3 linked regions of the Macaca fascicularis genome follow. The protein of the gene in region 3 interacts with the protein of the main gene of each other region in a pairwise test. Links are inferred from orthologs where the notes say so. Each region holds a gene or a part of one and is shown on either strand. Other genes may lie near its edges.

Region 1 (6,540 bases), on a different chromosome or scaffold from region 3:
TCAGCCGTAACTGTCACAAGAGGTATTAAGGTGCTGCTTACCAATTTGCAGTTTGTGTTGGCCTAAGGCTGTGGGGAGGGGAGGAGAGCTGCTCACTCCTTTTCCCTCCCCATCCAAACTCAAAGTCCCCCGGGCCCCAATTCAGAGTAATGTATTTTTTGGCACATACTAGAAAGGCAGTGCCTCAGCCCTTCCCTGAACCCATGGAGGTGTTCTGTTTGGGGCTTTTTAGACTGCTGCTGCTCAGCTGGTTGCTTGAACTGACAGTAGGCCAGCCTGTTCTCTGCCATCCCCTAGTCATTGTGTGCCTCACCACAGCTTGCTTTAGAGCAAGCTGTTTCTCAGACCTTAGGCACAGCCTCTCCTCTTTACCTGATCAATGTTAAATATAAGCACCCCTGATCCCAGGACATAAGGAAAGATGCCCAATTGTACTTTTGTTCTATAACCTATGAAATGGCTAGTTGATCATTTTTCCACAAAGAATTAGGTGTTAAGAGTTTTCCTTCGGGCTTTACTTAGGAGTATGGACTAAGCTGAAGGTGTACTTCACCAGCAAGAGTCAACTCTAGAATTCAGGACGTTCCTTCTATTGTTTTCTCATCCATCTGTCAGGAAATGTAACTTTGGTTTTATTTTTGGCTTATTCCAAGGGGTAAGCCAGAAAATAGAAATGATTATTTCTGATTAATAGCAGAAACTTTTTCAAACTCAAATATGTAAGGTGTCTGCTCTTTTAAAAGCTCTAAGCTAAGTCAAGAGCTAGGAAGTGTTGATACAAATAAAAGTTTTTGAAGGGATATGTGTGTCTGTGTTGAATTCCGAAGGGGTGACTTTGAAGGGGCGAGAGTGTTTCATTCCCTCAGGGGGACTCCTTACGTACCATCACATGGCTCAGTCTGCAGCAGTCCTGACTGCGCCCATGCTCCCACTTCTCCAGACAGGATCCCTACTCCACAGGGCCAGTGACACTCAGATTCTGACAGTGGCAAAGACCCAGAGCTGAGTTTCCTTTTTTCTAGTGCTAAGTCTTTTGAGTTGTGGTGCTAAATATTATTAGGCACAATATTAGGTACATAATAATAGATTTTTGTTAAAATACTTCTTTAGCTCTATTCAAGAAAAGAAGATGGCCCCATCCCTGTCCTGTATCCCATGAATACAAGCCACACTAAATCTTTTCCTTTCTAGCCACACAACAGTGTTATTTCAAGAAAATGAAACAAGACAGAGAAAGCAAAATTACCTATTACCTATTGGCACATTTTGGTTATGTCAAGTCTGGGCTTAAGCCCTGTGGGTCCCGTTAAGCTTTTTTTATTCTGTATCAAGCAGGAATGTCTTGAGTTCTTTCTAATCCACATACATCATGTCTTTGAAGTGTCAAAAGTCCCATCCTTTGCTGCCCCTGCAGTAACCTGCTTGTGGAACTCTTTAAGAACATCCAGCTGGCCAGGCCTGATGTGGATGTAAGACCGGATCTTGGCGATGGCTCTTACAGCCTCCTCTGGACTCCATCTGTGCACCTGAAGTACAGGGTTGAGAAATCAGCAGAGAAAGAAAGAAGCAGGTGTCAGGCCGGGCGCGGTGGCTCAAGCCTGTAATCCCAGCACTTTGGGAGGCCGAGATGGGCGGATTACGAGGTCAGGAGATCGAGACCATCCTGGCTAATACGGTGAAACCCCATCTCTACTAAAAAATACAAAAACTAGCCGGGCGAGGTAGTGGGCGCCTGTAGTCCCAGCTACTCGGGAGGCTGAGGCAGGAGAATGGCGTAAACCTGGGAGGCGTAGCTTGCAGTGAGCTGAGATCCGGCCACTGCACTCCAGCCTGGGTGACAGAGCGAGACTCCGTCTCAAAAAAAAAAAAAAAAAAAAAAAAAAGCAGGTGTCAACGTGCCCTTGACACATGAGCAGGTGCTAAAGGACTTCGAGAGTTTCATTTCTTTGGAAACTCCATTTTGGAGGCATTAAAAATCATGCTTCTTGTATTATAAATGGGAGAGTACTGTAACCACTGCAGTCAGCCAGTCTCACAATACTATGCAACAGGCCAGGTGGAAAGTCAGTCTTTCTACCCAATTCTTGCTCTGCCAAATCCTAGAAAAAGAAAGTTGCACATGAGAAGCTGAGGTCCTAAGTTCAAGACTGCCTCAGCCTACTCCACATTCTCTCCGAGCTGGGCTTTTGGTTAAAAGAACTTCTAGGAACACGTATGCAATAGATGTTTTGTTTGTTTGTTTTTTATTGAGACAGTGCCTCGCTGTGTCACCCAGGCTGGAGTGCAGTGGCGATCTCAGCTCACTGCAAGCTCCGCCTCCCGGGTTCACGCCATTCTCCTACCTCAGCCTCCCGAGTAGCTGGGACTACAGGTGCCCGCCACCACGCCCAGCTAATTTTTAGTATTTTTAGTAGAGACGAGGTTTCACCGTGTTAGCCAGGCTCAATCTCCTGACCTCGTGATCCGCCCGCCTCTGCCTCCCAAAGTGCTAGGATTACAGGCGTGAGCCACCGCGCCCGGCCTGCAGTAGATGTTTTTATGCAACTTGTCACCATGGCTAGAAAAACAAGTACTCATAATTTAAATAGGAGGGTTAACATGTCCTAAGGATACTCATTGGTTTAGAACTGAACAGAACCAAGAAAATACAGATTTCTAGCTTGCTAATTCAATTCTCACTGGGTACAAAATACCCTCCTGAGACCCTGAGTCCAGCAGAGTCCTTATGACCGAAATTTTAGTATCGTTCAACTACATACATACACACCAGTCCACAGTAACACAAGGCCAAACTTAGCTATTCACATGACTTAGAAAATGCTCTGTGGGAGCCATTTTGTAACTCAGGTTACAAAATGATGATGGACTACAGGGTATTTGTTTCTCCTAAATATTTTTAAAGCATCCCACCTGCCAATCATGACAAATTAACAGGCAGAATCTAGTTTGGAGCCTGTTTCCAGAAACTAATATCCAGAACTTGACTCTGGAATACTTGAAGAAACTTGAGTACTATAAAGCTGAAAATGATCATCACTATTATCTACAGTATTGTTCCCTGACATGGTATTAGAACAAGTGTCTAGCCTTTTGCTGGGGTTGAATATCTTTTGCAACTCCATTTTTAGAGTGCCCGCTGTAGCCAGCACTTGATGTAATTTCTTATTTAAACTTCATGATACATTTAGTTTGAGAAAACAGCATTAGGTATCAGTCACTTTTGCTGATCCTCACTGGCAGGCGGCAGAGCCCCAGGTTAGCCTGTCACAAGGCTCAGGTGCTTTCCATCATACCACACCACCTCCCAACAGCCTGAAATCAAGCACACAGCTCCTTCCAACAAGGCCCACCAGTAGACCATGCTATTGAAGTTCTGGAAATCTGCTATAAATGGGACCAGAAAGATTTTTTTTTTTTTTTTTTTTGAGAGAGGGTTTCACTGTGTCGGCCATGCTGCAGTGCAGTGGCACAAATCATGGCTCACTGCAGCCTCTACCTACCGGGCTCAGGTGATCCTTCCATCTCAGCCTCCCAAGTAGCTGGGACTACAGGTGCACACCACCAAACCGAGCTAACCTTTTGTATTTTTTGTAGAGACGGCTTTGCCATGTTGCCCAGTCTGGTCTCAAACTCCTGGGCTCAAGCCATCCTCCCACTTCAAGCCTCCCAAAATGCTAGGATTGTAAGCATGTACCACGATGCCCAGCCCAGAAAGAACTTTTGTACCTGAATCAGGTATGCTGCCACCATAGTGGCACTCCTGGAGCGCCCAGCCTTACAATGCACGTAGACACACTGGCCCAGCGACTGGTACTTGAGAGCAAATTGGACTCCCTTCTGGAGGTTGTCCAAGGTAGGGATCCCAGTCATGTCTACTGTGCTGAGCCGCAGCTGCTCGACTCCTAGTCTCTTCCACTCCTGGAACCAGGTCCACCAGTATGAAAAAGAATGAAAAAAACCTGATGTGGGTGGGATGATAAGGGGCTCCTAAGAGGCAGCAAAGCAACAGGGAAGTTTCAGGGTTTACTACAATGGGAATACACTGTTTCCTGTTTTCTAAAATAGAAACTCCTTACAGAAATGCTTTTTTTTCCCATTCCGGGTGAGGACAGAAATGTCTTTAAAATGGCTGGCCTACATAGTTGGTTTTTCATCAAACAGCAGCTATGCTGCTGAGTTAGAATTATGTCCAAGATTTAAAGTGTTCCTTTTCTTTTATTAAGACAGAGTCTCGCTCTGTTGCCCAGGCTGGAGTGCAGTGGTGTGATCTCAGCTCACTGCAACCTCCACCTCCCAGGTTCAAGCGATTCTCCTGCCTCAGCCTCCTGAGTAGCTGGGCCCACAGGCACGCGCCACCAAGCCTGGCTAATTGTATTTTTAGTAGAGACGGGATTTCATCATGTTGGCCAGGATAGTCTCAAACTCCTAACCTCAGGTCATCTGCCCGCCTCAGCCTCCCAAAGTGCTGGGATTACAGGTGTGAGCCACCACACCAGCAGGTAAAGTGTTCTTAAACTACCCTTTGTGTACTTGAATATTTAGCTGCAAAATATTAGCTATATATATTTTAGCTGCAAAAAATTCAGCTGCAAACATCTTAACATTTTATTTCGGCCGGGCATAGTGGCTCACGCCTGTAATCCCAACGATTTGTAAGGCTGAGGTGGGCAGATCACCTAAGGTCAGGAGTTCGAGACCAGCCTGGCTAACATGGTGAAACCCTGTCTCTAATAAAAATACAAAAATTAGCCAGGCCTGGTGGCGGACGCCTGTAATCCCACCTACTAGGGAGGCTGAGGCAGGAGAATTGTTTAACCCAGGAGAGAGAGGTTGCAGTGAGCAGAGATCACACCATTGTATTCCAGCCTGGGTGACAAGAGAAAAACAACATCTCAAAAAATATACATATTTTATTTTAGAGACACGATCTTGCTATGTCGCTCAGGTCAGAGAGCAGTGGTGTGCAATCATGGCTCCCTGCAGCTTCAAACTCCTAAGCTCAAGCAGTCCTCCCACCTCTGCCTCCTGAGAAGCTGTGACTACAGCTGCACGCCACTGTGCCTCGCTAATTTTGTTATTTTTGTGTGTGGAGATGGGGGTCTCGCTATGTTGCCCAGGCTGGTCTCAATCTCCTATCCTCAAGCCATCCTCCTGTCTCGGCCTCCCAAAGTGTTGGGATTACAGGCATGAGCCACCAGGCCCAGCCAGTGTAACTTTTTTTTGTATAATTTTGGCACCTGTGTAGTGATTCAGCTGCAGATTTGGGGTACAATATTTTGCCAGGGCTTTCTATTTCTCTGTCCATAAGTCTCCTCTTTTTTTACCACTTTTTTTTGAGGAAGCACATGGTAGAAAATAGGGTTATCATTTTAAAATTAAAAGAATGGGCCAGGCGCAAGACTCCGTCTGGAAAACAAAAAAAACAAAAAAAAATTAAATTAAAACAATGCACTGACCTTCATTAGTGCAATGTCATCACTTACAAAGAAGAAATAGGTGGCCAGGTGCGGTGGCTCACACCTGTAATCCCAGATTTTGAGAGGCCAAGGTGGGTGAATAGCCTGAGGTCAGGAGTTCGAGATGACTCTGGCCAACATGGCGAAACCCTATCTCCACAAAAAATACAAAAATTAGCCAGGCATGGTGGCGGGCACCTGTAATTCCAGCTACTTGGGAGGCTGAGGCAGGAGAATCACTTGAACCGGGAGGCAGACGTTGCAGTGAGCTGAGATTGCACCATTGCACTCTAGCCTGGACAATGGAGTGAGATGTGAGACTCTGTCTCAAAAAAAAAAAAAAAAAAGAAGAAATAAGAGAAATAAGGTCTTTGGCAACTGGGCAAACTTTATGCTTTAAGACTTCAGATATCCTCCAGCTACTCTTATTATTAACCTCTTAATAATGAGTATCGGAGACTGTATGGTTCTGAATGAAGGTCAGCTTTTTTTTTTTTTTTTTTTTTTTGAGACGGAGTCTCCCTCTGTCGCCCAGGCTGGAGTGCAGTGGCCGGATCTCAGCTCACTGCAAGCTCCGCCTCCCGGGTTCACGCCATTCTCCTGCCTCAGCCTCCCCAGTAGCTGGGACTACAGGTGCCCGCCACCTCGCCGGGCTAGTTTTTTGTATTTTTTAGTAGAGACAGGGTTTCACCATTTTGGCCAGACTGATCTCAAACTCCTGACCTCACATGATCTACCCACCTCAGCCTCCCAAAGTGCTGGGATTACAGGCGTCAGAGCTACCACGCCTAGCCAAGTCACAAATATTTCCAGCCAAGTCACAAATATTTTTAAGGTTTCAAAAAATCCTCAGGTTGAAATAATAGTATCTTCATCATGCTATATCAGTAAAACAAAGGAGAAAGATAATTGTTTAGTGCTATTAGATGCCAAACACTATAAAGATAGGGCAACATTTTTAATCACATTGTAGATAACATCTTCTTTTTTTTCGGGGGGGGGGATGGAGTCTCGCTCTGTCGCCCAGGCTGGAGTGCAGTAGCCGGATCTCGGCTCACTGCAAGTTCCGCCACCCGGGTTTATG
Region 2 (7,875 bases), on a different chromosome or scaffold from region 3:
ACTGACTCGACAAGGAAAATGTTAGTATGATTGAGTTCAAATACTGTCACCAGGAAGTAACAACTCTCTAGCACCTGGTAATGGAAACCAGGCAGCCATTTTGCCTTTTGCCAAAAGCTTTCCCAAACCCCACCCGTACCTTCCAGATACAGACCTGTTAAATGGGCCACTTTCCTCTGCTCCTTTTTCTCAGGGGGTGGACTGGGGTGACCTGTATCATAGAGAGAGGAAAAATATATGTTAAAATGAAATACCAACTATTATTTTGGTGGGAATTTAAATCCCATCATTTAAAAAAAAAAGATTTTAAAACCATAAATGGCAACAGTCTAACATATACTAATCATGTAAGTCTGAACTGCGGGATTCACCGTGGTCTATATTTCAGAAACAAAGAGGTAAAAAATAAACCAAATTAAGATGGACACATGCATAAATTATAATGTTACAATAAAATATAATTAATATAAACGTTTATTCATAATGAGCTGTCATGTCAGTTATTGCATTTAGAACTCACCACAACCCTTTGAGGTATGTATTGTCCCACCCCTTATCAATTGCAAAATGAGCTTAGAAGTTGGGTGACTAATCCAACTAGTCAGCATCAGAGATGGGACCACACCCTGGTCTCCTGACTCCAATTCCAGGGCTCTGTCCACTCTGATTCTCTCGTCCCTAAGACTTACAGGAAAGAGACTGAAGAAGACCACTAATCTATCTGCGTGTCACCAGATCTTCCCCCAGGGACATTTTACAATCTTCCCCAAATTAAGTATCTTAAGTCCTCAGACAATTACCTCATATCACTGAGGCCTCAAACACCTTTAATGGCTCCTTCCTGAAGATGCAGTTGTATACAAGTCTCCCCATCACACAATCCCAGCCCATCTGTCCAGCCTTATCTCCTTACTCCCACTGAGCACTGCCACACAACGGGAGTTCTGTGGCCTACACGTACCCCCACTTCCCTTCCTCTGTGCCTTTGTTCATGCCATGCCTTTTGCCCATAATGTTCTTTCAAACAGATTTCTGTGTCAAATTCCTAAACATCCCATAAGGACTATACCTCTTTCTTTGGGAAACCCTCTCAAACCTTTTTTGATCAAATATGATCTTCCCCTCTTTTGAAATCTAGGATCATTCTGTCTTCCCCTCTCTTGTCATTTCTGACTCCTCTTCTCTGGGGTAACTACATAAATTATCTTATTCCGCTCAAATAATGACAAGTTCCTTACGATATGTTGAATTCACCAGAGAAGCCCAGTTCCTAACACAGGGCATGTTACTAGCAAATGTCAGATAAATTAAATGGAAGAATAGACAGTAGTTCTCAAAACAGACACTATTTCTCTGACTTCAACTATTTCAGACAAGATAGACAGCTGCCACTTAGCTAACGCATTCAGCTAACTGAGACCTCAATAAATATTCACACGAGATGCTTGAATATGTCAGGTTCGTGATTAGCCTGTAAAACTCACGTATGGTGTGAGAATGGCCCAATTCACAGAGAACATTACCTGAGCGATCATGACCTCTCTGGTCACCCAAGACAACCCACCATGAAGGAGGTGTTAGTGAACAGGAAAGGCAAAACTGAGTCTCTTCTGCATTCCTACACCGCAAACCACCCGAGCGACTCATCTGGCATTCAGCCATGCACCGGCAGGAAACAGAACCAAGAACCACATGTTGCCTATCTTTTTATCCCTCACAGAGCCTAGTACAACATTATTTTTACAGAACATGCTCACTAAGAATATCTGCTGTACATAGGCTGGAATAAATAAACTGCAGAGATACCTTAGACACTGGTGATGAGTGCTTCCTGCCCCAGGGTTTTTGCATGTGCCGTTCCCAGTGTTGAAATGCTCTCCCCCAGCCCCACCCCACTCCACAGCACATGCACACAGCCCTTCGCTCATCAGGCTTCTGACCCCCCAGGTGTCAGCATAAACACCTCCTTAAAAAGGATTCTCAGCTTATACTTAGTACAACTTTGGAATTGTATGGTCTGTTTGCTTGCTTTTGTTTAGCTTCTTCACCATGCTAAAAGCTCTATAAGGACAGGTCCCCTGGGCTGGCTCATCCTCGATCAGCGTCCAACACCCAACATCTAGCCTCACGCATGTGAATGAATAAAAGATTTAATTAGCTAACTGGAAAAAAATGGAAAATGTAAAAAGGAACAAGTTAGAAAGTATAAATAATCTATAGTAGTATCTCCCAGAGAAAATCACTGTTAGTATGTCAGTGTGTAGAACCTTCTAGTTCCTAAGAATATAAAAACGTGCATACATGGTTACATAGTCAGTATGAAACGAAATATATCCTTTTGTAACTTGTCTTTTTATCTAACAATACACACTGCACAATCCCCAAGGCATTAAATGTCCTTCTGATACACCATTTTTAGTTGCTGCTTATTATGTGCTTGTTTCAATACACCATAATGTATATAACTAATCTAGTATGAGGCATTCAAGTTTCTTCTGGATTGTTTATTATAAATAGGCTCATAAGGGAGTAATGAACATCCTTATATATAAATCTTCAGGCACATCTGATTATTTTCTTAAGAGAAATTCTTAGTGATAGGATTACAACATAAACTATTAGTTTCAAGCTTTTGATATGTATTTCTAAAGTGCTCTTCAGAAAAAGTTATAGCAATTTACATGTATACTGGCTGAAACTAATGTTTAAACAGCACTTTTCTTTCAAATCTTTGTCAGTCTGGGTTTTTGTTAACTTTACTAATTTGATGAAAATTGGTGTTCCCTATTTTTAGTTTGCATCTCTTTTCTTATTAGTAAAGTTACTGATTTGATTTCCTTGTGATAATTTAACAATTTCTGGTTCATCTGGGTTGATCTAGAGAAGATAATTGCTTACTGGGGTAGATGGACATGACTCGTCTGGTCATTTGATTTTTAATCACTAAATTGACTCCAGAGAGGAGGTAAAAGATGAATGCTTAGGTACCTATCAGACCAGGCACATTCCACAGGTTTTCAAAATGATCTTATTTGAGACATCCTCCAGAGGCTTTATTTTTCTAGCAAATATTTCCACTCTGCTTGTGTACATATGGACTTTCTAACATTTAAGGATTAGGACACAGACTCAGGGGCCAGAGCTTCCCAACAGTGGCTCCTATAAGAACTTAACAGTCTAGGACAGTAGACAGGCGACTGGGTTGCCTGCAGTAGCCACATCCAGAGAAACTGAAACTTACTTCACTTAATAGATGGCCAGTGCTGCCTTCTTCTTTATTCTGAGTTTCTAAGGATGCGATCTATCTATAGTCTTTGCAGAGGTATCCTGCTTTTCCTCTATTTCTCACTCCATGCTCACTACAGAGAGACAGGAGTTTCCCTACTTCATGAGGCACCAGTCCAGTACCGGAAAGCCCTGTAGGTGACAAGGCATCAAGAGCCTGTGTTCCTTCTAGCCCCAGTTCCATACTAGGGGTCTTGGGCATATTCACCTAATCTGTCTGGCATTTTGTTTCTCTTCCAAAAAAATGAAATGGCTGGACTAGATATTCTAAGCTTCCTTCCAACTCTAAACCTTCAGTGAATCTCATTGTAAATCTAAATCTAAAATTTCAATGAATCTTAGGCTAGTGAAGCACATTGTAAAATCCATCTGTACAGAGCTTGCAAAACTATGCCCTGAAATTTCACGAGATCAGTGTTCCAACATATCGTCTTCTTGCCCTAGCTCCCATACAAAGGATTTTCCTTTGTGATCAAGGGTACCTCATGACTGCCTCTGAAGCTGAACATCCTTTGAATGATGGCTGAAGTCTTCCCTTCAGCTTCTCAGTGACTTCAAGAAAAACCATTCTAATGTACGGAATTGATTAGCCACATTTTAAAAGCTTACATCCTATAAAACATTTTATAAATAAAGTTTCACTGTGATCTCTTTAGAGGCTTTAAAAGAGGAGAGGACGTTTCTCAGAAACATCTGTCTCTGCCTTCACTTCGCCTTCTCTTCCCAGAAGTCATAGCCACTGGCATGTGTGCCAGGACCAGGGTGTCTGTGGAAGGGGACAGGCCTGGAACCACTGCTCAGGGGGCAAAAGTCCACGGTTGTATATGTGTGTCTCTTTCCAAAGTCAAGCGGAAGTGATTTTGAATTGTGTGCCGTGCTCAGCTATATTGATTGTGAGCAATTCAATTCACTTCACATTTTTAAAGCAGCTCAAGGAATCATACTGACCAGAGATTCCGAATTAGCCAGGATTCCTCTCATAGTATACATAAGCCAAAGTGTAGGACAGAATATAAGGCATTCCATTAACATATTTCAGTGCTGAGGATCACCTTTAGGAACTCAATGTACATGTGAAAAAGGACTCACCTATTTGCTTCTCCAAAGATGATGCTGTATGCTTCTGGCTGGTAGACTAGTAAAAGAGAAAGAAAAAAGATGCATAATAAAAATAAAATTATTTAAGCAAAAGAGACAGAATCGTCAAATAAACCAAGCCCTGGAAAGAGAATCCAAATACCTCAGAACTTTTGCTGACTCAGGCTTTGGTCAAGCAATTTTGCTTCACTGTCCCTCAGTTTTGTGATTTGAAATCGTACCAGTATTTTAAGTATTTTCAAGATTTAGTTTGGTCATCTGAACAAATTTACTTCCAAGCAAAACTTAAAAGTTTTGTTTGTTTTTTACTCCTTAAATCACTAGGTATGAGGCAGTAAGTGGTTCAACAGACTGAGTTGACAACTGAGGAAAGAAAAACTGTTGGGCTCTGATTCTTTACAAAATAAAAAATATTCCCTTCACTCCTATGAGCCTCCATTTCTCTGCCTATAGAATAGAATAACTAGAACAACCCATTTCTAAGAAAAAAAAAAAAGGATTGAAAAGCACTTTGCAAGCCAGGCAGTGGGCCCTCCACCCCCTTATGCCTGGTGCCTCCAGGGCACAGCAGTCTGCCAGCAGGCTTACCTCTCGGAGTTCTGCCAGCTCTTTCTGTAAGTGGAAGAGCTGAAACATCCCCAGTCCCAATCCTACCAAGGCAACCAGAACCATGAAAAACATCACAAGGAGACAAAGGCCTGTGCTGTGGTTTCCCCTCTTCTTCAAGGGTGGCAGCGGTAGTGGAGGCAGTGGTGATGGCGGTGGAGGTGGTAGTGGCGGCGGTGGCGGCGGTGGTGGTGGCCTCCTTTGACCAGGCCTTCTGGGCACAGAGGTTGGACAGGGAAGAACTGTGCCTGGAGGGGCCCAGGGAGAGCTGGCACTGCTGTCCACCCAGTAGATCTGGGGATATGGGTAATTGAAGGGCTGCTGCATGGCAGCCGGTGAGTCAGGCCAGCCCCAGCAAACGGTTTTACTTCTCAATCCTGTAGAGGCTGAGGTGTCAAGGACAGGACTCCTGTTGCTGACTGCTCAAGAGGAGGCAAGCTGGATCTCTCTTATAGAGTTTCCATAGCTAAGGGAAACACCTCTGTCTTTCTCTTTCTCTATGTCTCTCTCTGATTCTGCTTCTCAAAGAAACACCCACTCACTTTGCAGCTGAAGCTGAGAAGCCTCAAGAAGCTCAGAGCAAACCCCTGGAAGTTTCCGCCCACAATCTTCTGACGAAAGCCTTGGAAGCCTCAGTTGCTATCGCTGTACTACCCAAACAGGTTGGTAGGCTATGCTCACCTTCCTGGGATCCTGTAGAGCAGGTCAGCATTGGGGTAGAGCCCTGTTGGCGTGAACTGCTCCCAGCTACAGGAGAATGGCCAGTGGGGCTATAATTTTATGAATTATAATTGTATCCTTTTTTATACATTATAATTGTATAATGTTAAGAATTCTACCATGTATACGACCAAAAAACTATTTAAAAATACCAAAATACCTCTAACAAAAATTGTTCAGAACCATATTTTTTAAACTATAAAAATTTTACTGAAATTGGCTCTGAGGGGAGAGACCATGGAGCCATGGCCAGAGAAGTCACTCCCACATTTTAGTTTTTGCAGGAGGAAAACACCTGTTGCCATCATCGCTTCCCCACACACAACTACCATTTACCCTGACCTGCCAATCACCATAATTTACAGGTTAAAAAACCTGCTACACCCTCTTTAGAAATTAGATCAGAGGCTGCAAACAGTGGAACCCACAGAACTGCTTTGTATTTCACAATGTTTTCATTTTCATTGTTTGCCCAGCTTATTTATTTACGTATTTATTTAAATAGAGACAGAGTCTCACTCTGTCACCCAAGCTGGAGTGGAGTGGTGCTATCATAGTTAACTGCAGCCTCAAACTCCTGGGCTCAAGCAATCCTCTTGCCTTGGCCTCCTAAGTAGCTGGGATTATAGGCATGAGTCACTACACCTGACTAATTTATTTATTTATTTATTTTTGTAGAGATGGGGACTCGCTATGTTGCCCAGGCTTGTCTCAAACTCCTAGCTTCAAGACATCCTCCCACCTCAGTTTCCCAAAGTGCTGGAATTACAGTCATGAGCCACTGCACTCAGCCCAATTGACCACTTTTAATATCAATATTAAAAATATTTTAATATATATACATTTTAAATACACATTAAAATACATATTTTTGTTCTGTTTTGCAATATCAGAATATCAGACACCCTCGAGGCCATCTCTGCAAACCCAATCAGTGGGAAGTAGGTAGCAGCTGCTCCTGAGAATGAGCGACAGGTGTTCTGGGTCACCCAGCCTCCGCCAGCGGCCTGTGTCTCACACATCACCTCACCATCTGAAAGGCCTGCCTGGTCCTTGCCGATATTTCTGTGTCCTGTCCCTGTTATGGTTGCCAGATTAAATACATGGTGCCCAGTTAAATTTGAATTTCAGATAAATAATACATAATTTTTAGGACGAGTATGTCTTAAACACGTCCAAACATGGAATACACTAAACAATTATTCATCATATAACTGACATTCAAATTTAACTCTGTGTCCTATTTCTTTGTTTTTCTGTTGTTGTTTAAAGTTGGCCTCTCTACTTGGGCTCACCTCACCCTTTCCTTTGGCCTCACATACCATTTTTATGCCAATAACTTCCAAGTAGTTAGCTTCAGTCTTAATCATTCCCCAATAGAAGCCAAATAAATCCCCCATAAATCCAAATTTTTCATTTTTTTCATGTTTATTACCTTTCAAATTTCATTAGTTTTTATATCATGTTTTGGGATTTCCGTGACTGTCATTCAGGCCCACTCACCTGTACCAAACCAACACCAAGGATACTCTTTCCCTGATATATTCTGCCCATCCCACCCCATCCCCATCCCCGTACAATCTGTTTCTCCTGAGGCCACTCTTTCTGGCGGCAACTTCATCTCCTTTCTTTTCCTCTCCCCCAATGTTTAACTGGTCACCCAGGACTGTTGCTTTTACCTGAGACCTGTTCCTTACCCTCCCCTCGGTTTACTGCTCCCCTCCCCCATCCTTACCACTCCCATTTTTCTTACTGCTATTGCCTGGGCTCAGACTTTTTATCTCTCACCTGAAATACTGCAATAATGACCTAACAGGTGCCCTGCCACTGACCTTTCCCAAGCCCAAATCACTCAGTAAAATGCTACAAGAAAGATGTTTTTTAAAAACAAACCTAATGATCTCACTTCCCTTCCTTGTGTTGGAAGGTTTGATTCCAAGAATAATGCAAGCTCCTTACCATTACCCAAGGCTCTTTAGCATCAGCTCCCACTGCCTCCTTATCAGGCACTCCTGCTCACATCCCACTCTCCACTCTTAAACAGTGCAAGGGATGAGACTTAACTCACATGTGGCTTTATTCATCATTATGAATTCAACTAACTTTAAACTTAGTAATAATCAGAAATTGTAATTTTAAGAATTCTATCATATATACAACAAAAAT
Region 3 (7,938 bases):
ACTTGTTTTCTCATCTCTAAAACAGGTCAGACCACATCAAAGCTATTAACCCAAGGAGCCAAATGGAAAGAACAACTGGAATAACCACAATAAATGTAGGCGATTTGTATGTCATATTGTCAGTTTAACCTGCCTTTAGAGGTTTGCTTTTTAAGATTGCTTATTTTGAAATAATGCTATAGTCATAGGAAATCACGTACACAGAATGTACAGAGTGGTCCCGTGTACTGGTCACCCACTTTCCCTCAATGGAGACTGCATTAACTAAAGAACATCAAAACTAGGAAATGAAAAGGGTACCATTCACAGAGCTTATTCAGATTTCACTCATTTCTGTGTGTGCACGTGTATAGTTTCATGCAACTTTAGCACATTACATGTGTAATGTGCATAACTGCCGCTGCAGTCAAGACACAGAACTGGTTCATCACCACCAGGCTCCCTTTAAAGTGTGACCCCTTTGTAGCTATACCCACCACCCTACCTAATCCCTAATCTTTGGCAACCATGAATCTGTTCTCTATGTCTATCACTTTATTTCAAGAGTGGCTTATATTGGTTGGGCACAGTGACTCACATCTGTAGCCCCAGCACTTTGGAAGGCTGAGGTGGGCAGATCACTTGAGGTCAGGAGTTCAAGACCAGCCTGGCCAACATGGTGAAACCCTGTCTCTACTAAAAATACAAAAATTAGCTGGGTGTGGCGGCGCATGCCTGTAGTCCTAGCTGCTCGGGAGGCAGAGGTGAGAGAATCGCTTGAACCCAGCAGGCAGAGGTTATAGTGAGCTGAGGTTATAGTGAGCCGAGATCACCCCACTGCACTACAGCCTGGGCGACAGAGCAATATTCCATCTCAAAGAAAAAAAAAGAGTGGCTTATATAGAATCATACACATATATGTAGTGTGTGACTTTTTGGAATTGGCTTTTTCTCCCCCGCTCAGCATCAGTCCCTGAAGTCTACCCAAGTGTGTTGTGTATCAGTAGTTCATTCCTTTTAGTGGCTCCATGGGATTCCACGGTATGGATGTACCACTGTTTGTTTAATCATTCATCCCTTGAAGGGCTTTTGGGTTGTTTCTGGTTTTTGACTATTACAAATAAAGCAGCTGTGGACATTGGCATACAGGGTTGGTGTAAATGTAGGTTTTCATTTCTCTGGGATAAATGCCTAATAGTGAAATTGCTAGACCATATGGTAGCTGTATCTTCAATTTTATGAGAAACTGCCAAATTGTTTTCCAGATTGCTTGTACTATTTTACATTCCTATCAGCAATGCATGAATGATTCAGTTTCTCTGTATCCTTTCCAGCAGTTGGTGTTATCATAATTTTAGTCATTTTAGCCATTCTAGCCATTTTTATAGCCACTATTTTTTCTCCATTTTACCCATTCTGCTGGGTGTGTAGTGATATTTCACTGTGACTTTAATTTGCATCTCCCTAATGGCTAACAATGTTGACTGTCTTTTCATATATTTATTTGCCATCTGCATATTCTCTTCAGTAAAATGCCTGTTCATGCCTTTTGCCCATATTCTTGTTGGACTGTTTGTCTTTTACTCTTGAGTTTTGAGAATTCTTTATTCTCAGTTCAAGGTGTTTGGCAGACATGGGGGTGAAAGTATTTTCCTGCTGTCTGTATGCTGTCTTTTATCCTCTCAATAGAGTCTTTGACAGCGCAAAAGTTTTTTAGATTCTAATGAAGTCTTATTTATTGATAATTTTTCTTGCATGGATCATGATTTTTTGGTGTCTGTGTACTCTTCACCTAGCCCTAGCTCATAACGATTTTCTCCCATTTTTTTCCTAAAAGTTCTATAGTTTTACATGTAGTTGTACATTTAAGCCCATGATCTATTTGGGGGTAATTTTTGCAGGAACTGTAAAGCTTAGGTTGAGGATTTTTGGAGAATTTCTGACTGACCCCTTGATGTCTAGATACATTTTAGCCCACGTTCCCTCTTTCTGCCTCTATATGTATGTTCTTAGACATTATTTCACGTCTACCTTAGATTTCACTGCTTTCACTCTAACACTGGGCTTCTTCAATTGTCTTACCCCAGAGTGATCATATTCCTCCCCTAATATCTTACTCATTGAAAAAATGTACAATAATTACATAGGTACCTTATATTATTGACATGAGTCATGCTGATAATATGCTATATGTTTGTCTTTCTCAGTATACAGTAAGTCTCTAGAAAGGAGGGAGCTTATCTTGCTCTTTCTCTTTATTCCCTATGGCTCCTAGCCCAAGGTTTTGCAGTTAGTAAGGATTCAATGATAACAGCAGACTCAAAATGAGTTCGGTGTTTCCATCCTTACATTTGCTAAAAGAGGCACGTCTCCTCTTTCTGTATTCAGATGCAATATAAAAAGATTTTTTTTCAAAAGGCAAAAACTGAATGAAGGAGCCAGTAGCATCCCAACCGGATTGCTTCCTTCTACCCTCACCTGTTGCTGTACAGACTGGAACCCGTTAACAGATTAGTGAGGGGGCCGGGCGCGGTGGCTCAAGCCTGTAATGCCAGCACTTTGGGAGGCCGAGATGGGCGGATCACGAGGTCAGGAGATCGAGAGACGATCCCGGCTAACACGGTGAAACCCCGTCTCTACTAAAAAATACAAAAAAAAATAGCCGGGCGAGGTGGCGGGCGCCTGTAGTCCCAGCTACTCGGGAGGCTGAGGCAGGAGAATGGCGTAAACCCGGCAGGCGGAGCTTGCAGTGAGCTGAGATCCGGCCACTGCACTCCAGCCTGGGTGACAGAGCAAGACTCCGTCTCAAAAAAAAAAAAAAAAAAACAACAACAAAAAAAACAGATTAGTGAGGTTAGGATAGAAGTTAGGCTGCCCAGCACCAGCGTGTGTGGTTGATTCCAGGATGCCATGGGAAGGTGTAACAGTGATTTTTAAATATTTTTGCATTTTATTTGTCTTTGATTCCACTTAGAGCATACCTTCTCAAGACAGTTAGAACTTTGAAATTATATATATGTATGTGTGCGTGCATATACATACATACATATACAACAGCATACATATGCACCATATAATGGGTATATTTGTTGTTTTTGATGTCTGTTTCCTCAAAGTAGCCTCCACATTCTGTCTTTTAGAAATATCTTTTGCATGTGTTGCCTACATTAAGATGTCCATTAATTCAGGACTCTTGGCCACTACATCCCATTTCATTGCAGCTTGCTAAACTCTTAGTGCTTAGATGATAATAGGGGGTGTGGGAATTCATGTGTTATTTGTTCACATACGTCTGAAAGCTCAAAAGAACAGGCCCGTATATATTTACAAAAAAAACCTTTATCTTGACCCTTTTTATTTTTATTATTTTCCCCTCCACTTGTGCCAAATGGTTAAAATAACATTAGGAGAAAGGGCAGACGTAGAGAATTATATAAAGAGTTTGCAAATAAATAATGATTATTATCAGGATATGAGCCATGGCAAAAGAACAGGTGAATTTTCTGGTGTTAAGGTATTTGAACAGTTTTATAGTTTTGCAACACTTAATTTTGAGTGTGCTCTTGCTTGTTAGACATTAACACATGTCCATATTCTATACCAAGTAACCTTTTACGAAATGTTAATAGCTAAGAGGATTTACAGACTCAAACTGTATTTTCTTCAAAGATACACACAACATCCAGCAGGTAAATTGTCACTCTTTGGAGAAATAATGTTATTACCTACTGATAGAAACTCAAGCTTAAGAAATTCACCTTAGGAAACTTTTAATTTGGAAAAAACATCCCTTAGCTCCTTAATGTTCTTATGTTCTTAGTTTATTAATTGTTTTCCCTAGGAATTTTTTTTTGTAGAAAGCAGTCTACAATTTTTCTTTCATTATTATATGGGATATCATATTTATATCAGAGAAAGACATCCAAGGGCTAACACTTAAAGCCACAAAGTCTGTCTAGATTTGTTGAATGTTATCACCTGAAACGAACAAACAAACAAACAAACAAAAAAACAATAAACAACAATTTGTTTTGGTAAGGGGAATCTGTTTAGATTGGAGAAAACTAGATAGATCAGGTAATTATCATCTAGGTTCTAGATTTCCCTTGGGGTTGGTTTGAAAACATTTTTGGAAAAACATTAAGATAAGAGAGCAATGACACTAAAGCTTGCATATAGTTTTATATTCTTTCTGGTAAACACTTTCCCTTGACAGGAAAGGATCATGGATTGTGGAGATCACCTTACCTTGATATCAGGAATGGCCCTGGGGTCTCCTTCATTTTCTGTGATTTGGTGAATGTCTGCATTATATCTCTGAGCCCTAAACAGGGGCAGAAACTGTGTCCATATAGATGGCCTGAAGAAATGTTTCTGGAGGCACTCTTGGTTATCTTGGGAAAGCTGGGGCATGTTTTCACAATAAAGGCCCCAAATGAGTCCTGTTGCCTGGTTTTCCCAATATTAGCACAGGATCCACTCTGTTTGTCTTTGTTTGGTTAATGCTGGGCTGGCTCTGAGTCTGTGGGGAGCCTCCTCGGAAAGTTACACTAATGAAAGCAAAAGGATTATCTGCTTTGTGGATCAGTAGCTTATCCACAGATCTTTCATGTTCTATTCCTGGTAGAGCTGCTTATTTTGGATGTCTAGGTGCTGTATGTTATGAGTGCCCTCTAAAGGTAGAAATGTATTCTTAATTAAAATGTAATCCTAAATCAAAACGGAAAGAAACGATCCAAGTGATATATAGCTTAGCATATAGTGATAAATTAAATAGACTGGCAAAAATTCTTGTGTTAGTTGTGTTTGATAGCCAATAGTACTTGACAATCTTGGGCTGTGCAATTGACAGGCAGATGGTTGGCCTAATCTTTCCAGGTTTCTTAAAAGGTAATTTTAATAACAGTCATATTTGTAGGTAGTAACATATGCAAAACTCATACCCAAACTTAAACTCAATGATTATTACACTTTTTACATACATCATGTGGAGTATGTTAAATTGATTTTCTTATGAGATGACTAGGTACCCAATGAGTAAGCCAAGAATTGGCTTCTAACACCATACTTCATATTTATAAACTGCTTTATAAATATAAGATTATTAAGCAGACTGGAAAAGGTAGAATACCTTTCTATCAAGAGGCAACTAATGCCCAAGTAGCTTCTGTTGGGTTTGAGGGTGCACAAAGGTAAGGGATGTGTATTACTGGGGTCGATGAACTGGAAAAGTTTCCTTTTGTAAAATTGCTTTATAGATTCAACACAATGCCTATCATACGTCGGCTCCTTTCTTTTGCAGTGGTTGACAGTTGATTCTAAAATTCATATAAAATTATAAGGGGCCAGGCATGATGGCTTACACCTGTAATCCCAGCACTTTGGGAGGCTGAGGTGGGCAAATCACGAGGTCAGGAGTTCGAGACCAGCCTGACCAACATGGTGAAACCCCGTCTCTACTAAAAATATAAAAAGTTAGCCAGGTGTGGTGGCATATGCCTGTAATCCCAGCTACTCAGGAGGCTGAGGCAGTAGAATCGCTGGAATCCAGGAGGCAGAGGTTGCAGTAAGCTGAGATCGTGTCACTGCACTACAACCTGGGTGACAGAGTGAGACTCTGTCTCAAAAAAAAAAAAAAAAAAAAAAAAAATTATAAGGGACCCAGAATATCCAAAACAGTCTTGAAAAAGAACAAAGTTGAAGGATCACACTTCCCAATTTTAAAACTTACTACAAAGCTACAGTAATTACCATTAACATCCTTCACAGAATTAGAAAAAACTATTTTAAAATTCATATGGAACCAAAAAAGAACTTGTATAGCCAAGACAATCCTAAGCAAAAAGAACAAAGCTGGAGGCACCATGCTACCAGACTTCAAACTATACTACAAGGCTACAATAACCAAAACAACATGGTACTGATACAAAAACAGGCACATAGATCAGTGGAACAGAATAGAGAACTCAGAAATAAGACCACACATCTACAACTATCTGATCTGAAACAAACCTGAAAAAAAACAAGCAACCGGGAAAGGATTTCCTATTTAATAAATGGTGTTGGGAAAACTGGCTAGCCATATGCAGAATATTGAAACTGGACCCCTTCCTTACACCTTATACACAAATTAACACAAGATGGATTAAAGACTTAAATATAAAACCCGAAACTATAAAAACCCTAGAAGAATATCTAGGCAATATCACTCAGGACACAGGCACAGGCAAAGATTTCATGACAAAATCATCAAAAGCAATTGCAACAAAAGCAAAAATTGACAAATGGGATCTAATTAAATGAAAGAGCTTCTGCACAGCAAAAGAAATTATCATCAGAGTGAACAGGCAACCCACAGAGTGGGAGAAAATTTTTGCAATCTATCCATCTGACAAAGGGCTAATATCCAGAATCTACAAGAAACCTAAACAAAGTTACAAGAAAAAAAAAAAAAACCCCATTAAAATGTGGGCAAAGGACACGAACAGACACTTTCAAAAGAAAACATTCGTGCAGCCAACAAACATACGAAAAAAGCTCGACATCAATGACCATTAGAGAAATGCAAATCAGGCTGGGTGTGGTGGCTCAATGCCTGTAATCCCAGCACTTTGGGAGGCTGAGGCGGGTGAGGCCAGGAGGTCAGGAGTTCAAGACCAGCCTGGCTAACATGGTGAAACATCATCTCTACCAAAAATACAAAAATTAGCTGGGTGTGGTGGCATGTGCCTATAGTCTTAGCTACTCAGGATACTGAGGCAGGAGAATCGTTTGAACCAGGGAGGTAGAGATTGCAGTGACCCGAGATTGCGCCACTGTACTCCAGGCTAGGTGACAGAGCAAGATGCTGTCTCAGGAAAAAAAAAATTAAAAAAAAGAGAGAGAAATGCAAATCAAAACCACAATGAGATACCATCTCTCACAAGTCAGAATGGCAATTTCTTAAAAAGCCAAGTAACAACAGATGCTGGTGAGGTTGTGGAGAAATAGGAATGCTTTTATACTGTCAGTGTGAATGTAAATTAGTTCAACCATTGTGGAAGACAGTGTGGCAATTCCTCAAAGATCTAGAACCAGAAATACCATCTGACCCAGCAATCCCATTACTGGATATATACCCAAAGGAATATAAATCATTCTATTTCAAAGATACATGCACACATATATTAATTGCAGCACTATTCACAATAGCAAAGACATGTAATCAACCCACATGCCCATCAATGATAGGCTAGATAAAGAAAATGTGGTACATATACACCATGGAATAATATGCAGCCATAAAAAGGAGTGAGATCATGTCGTTTGCAGGGATATGGATGGAGCTGGAAGTCATTGTCCTCAGCAAACTAATGCAGGAACAGAAAACAAAACACCACATGTTCTCTCTTATAGGTAGGAGCTTAACAATGAGAACACGTGGTCACAGGAAGGGGAACAACACACACTAGGGCCTGTCAGGGGTGGGGTTGTGGGAGGAAGAGCATTAGGAAAAATAGCTAACGTATGCTAGGCTTAATACCTGGGTGATGGGTTGATAGGTGCCGCAAACCACACGTTTACGTATGAAACAAACATGCACATCCTAAACATGTATCTGAGAACCTAAAAATTAAAATAAAAAATTTTAAAAAGTGACAGTAATCAAGACCGTGTGGTACTGGTATAAGGATAGGTATGTACATGTGTAGATCAATGGGACAGAATTGAAAGTCCAGAAATAAACCCATACATTTATGGTCAACTGATTTTTGACAGGGTGCCAAGACAATTCAATGGGGAAAGAATTGTTTTTTCAGTAAATGGTGTGGGGACAACTGGTTATCCACATGCAGAAAAATTACATAGGACCTCTATTTCACACTCTTTACAAAAACTAATTCAGCATGAATCATAGATCTAAATGTAAAAGCCAAAACTATGAAACTCTGAGAAGAAAACATAAGGTTAAATCTTCGT

The links.
Region 1: the proteins of RGS20 (region 3) and PTPMT1 interact in binary tests that used the Homo sapiens proteins (3 or more experiments, as listed by UniProt). The two-hybrid records come from large-scale screens. The link is inferred for Macaca fascicularis from reciprocal best matches to the Homo sapiens genes RGS20 and PTPMT1.
Region 2: the proteins of RGS20 (region 3) and FASLG interact in binary tests that used the Homo sapiens proteins (3 or more experiments, as listed by UniProt). The two-hybrid records come from large-scale screens. The link is inferred for Macaca fascicularis from reciprocal best matches to the Homo sapiens genes RGS20 and FASLG.

The regions. Positions count from the first base shown.
Region 1 is NC_088388.1:18,267,023-18,273,562, forward strand, and holds the end of PTPMT1 (phosphatidylglycerophosphatase and protein-tyrosine phosphatase 1), read right to left. Parts: intron 3,919-6,540; coding exon 3,727-3,918; intron 1,527-3,726; coding exon 1,368-1,526; 3' UTR 1,185-1,367; downstream 1-1,184. Other genes in the region: KBTBD4 (kelch repeat and BTB domain-containing protein 4), read left to right, coding at 1-66. UniProt on the Homo sapiens protein: Lipid phosphatase which dephosphorylates phosphatidylglycerophosphate (PGP) to phosphatidylglycerol (PG).
Region 2 is NC_088375.1:30,263,174-30,271,048, reverse strand, and holds the start of FASLG (tumor necrosis factor ligand superfamily member 6), read right to left. Parts: upstream 5,537-7,875; 5' UTR 5,317-5,536; coding exon 4,972-5,316; intron 4,421-4,971; coding exon 4,375-4,420; intron 212-4,374; coding exon 155-211; intron 1-154. UniProt on the Homo sapiens protein: Cytokine that binds to TNFRSF6/FAS, a receptor that transduces the apoptotic signal into cells. Involved in cytotoxic T-cell-mediated apoptosis, natural killer cell-mediated apoptosis and in T-cell development.
Region 3 is NC_088382.1:63,823,796-63,831,733, reverse strand, and holds the start of RGS20 (regulator of G-protein signaling 20), read right to left. Parts: upstream 4,498-7,938; 5' UTR 4,393-4,497; coding exon 4,228-4,392; intron 1-4,227. UniProt on the Homo sapiens protein: Inhibits signal transduction by increasing the GTPase activity of G protein alpha subunits thereby driving them into their inactive GDP-bound form.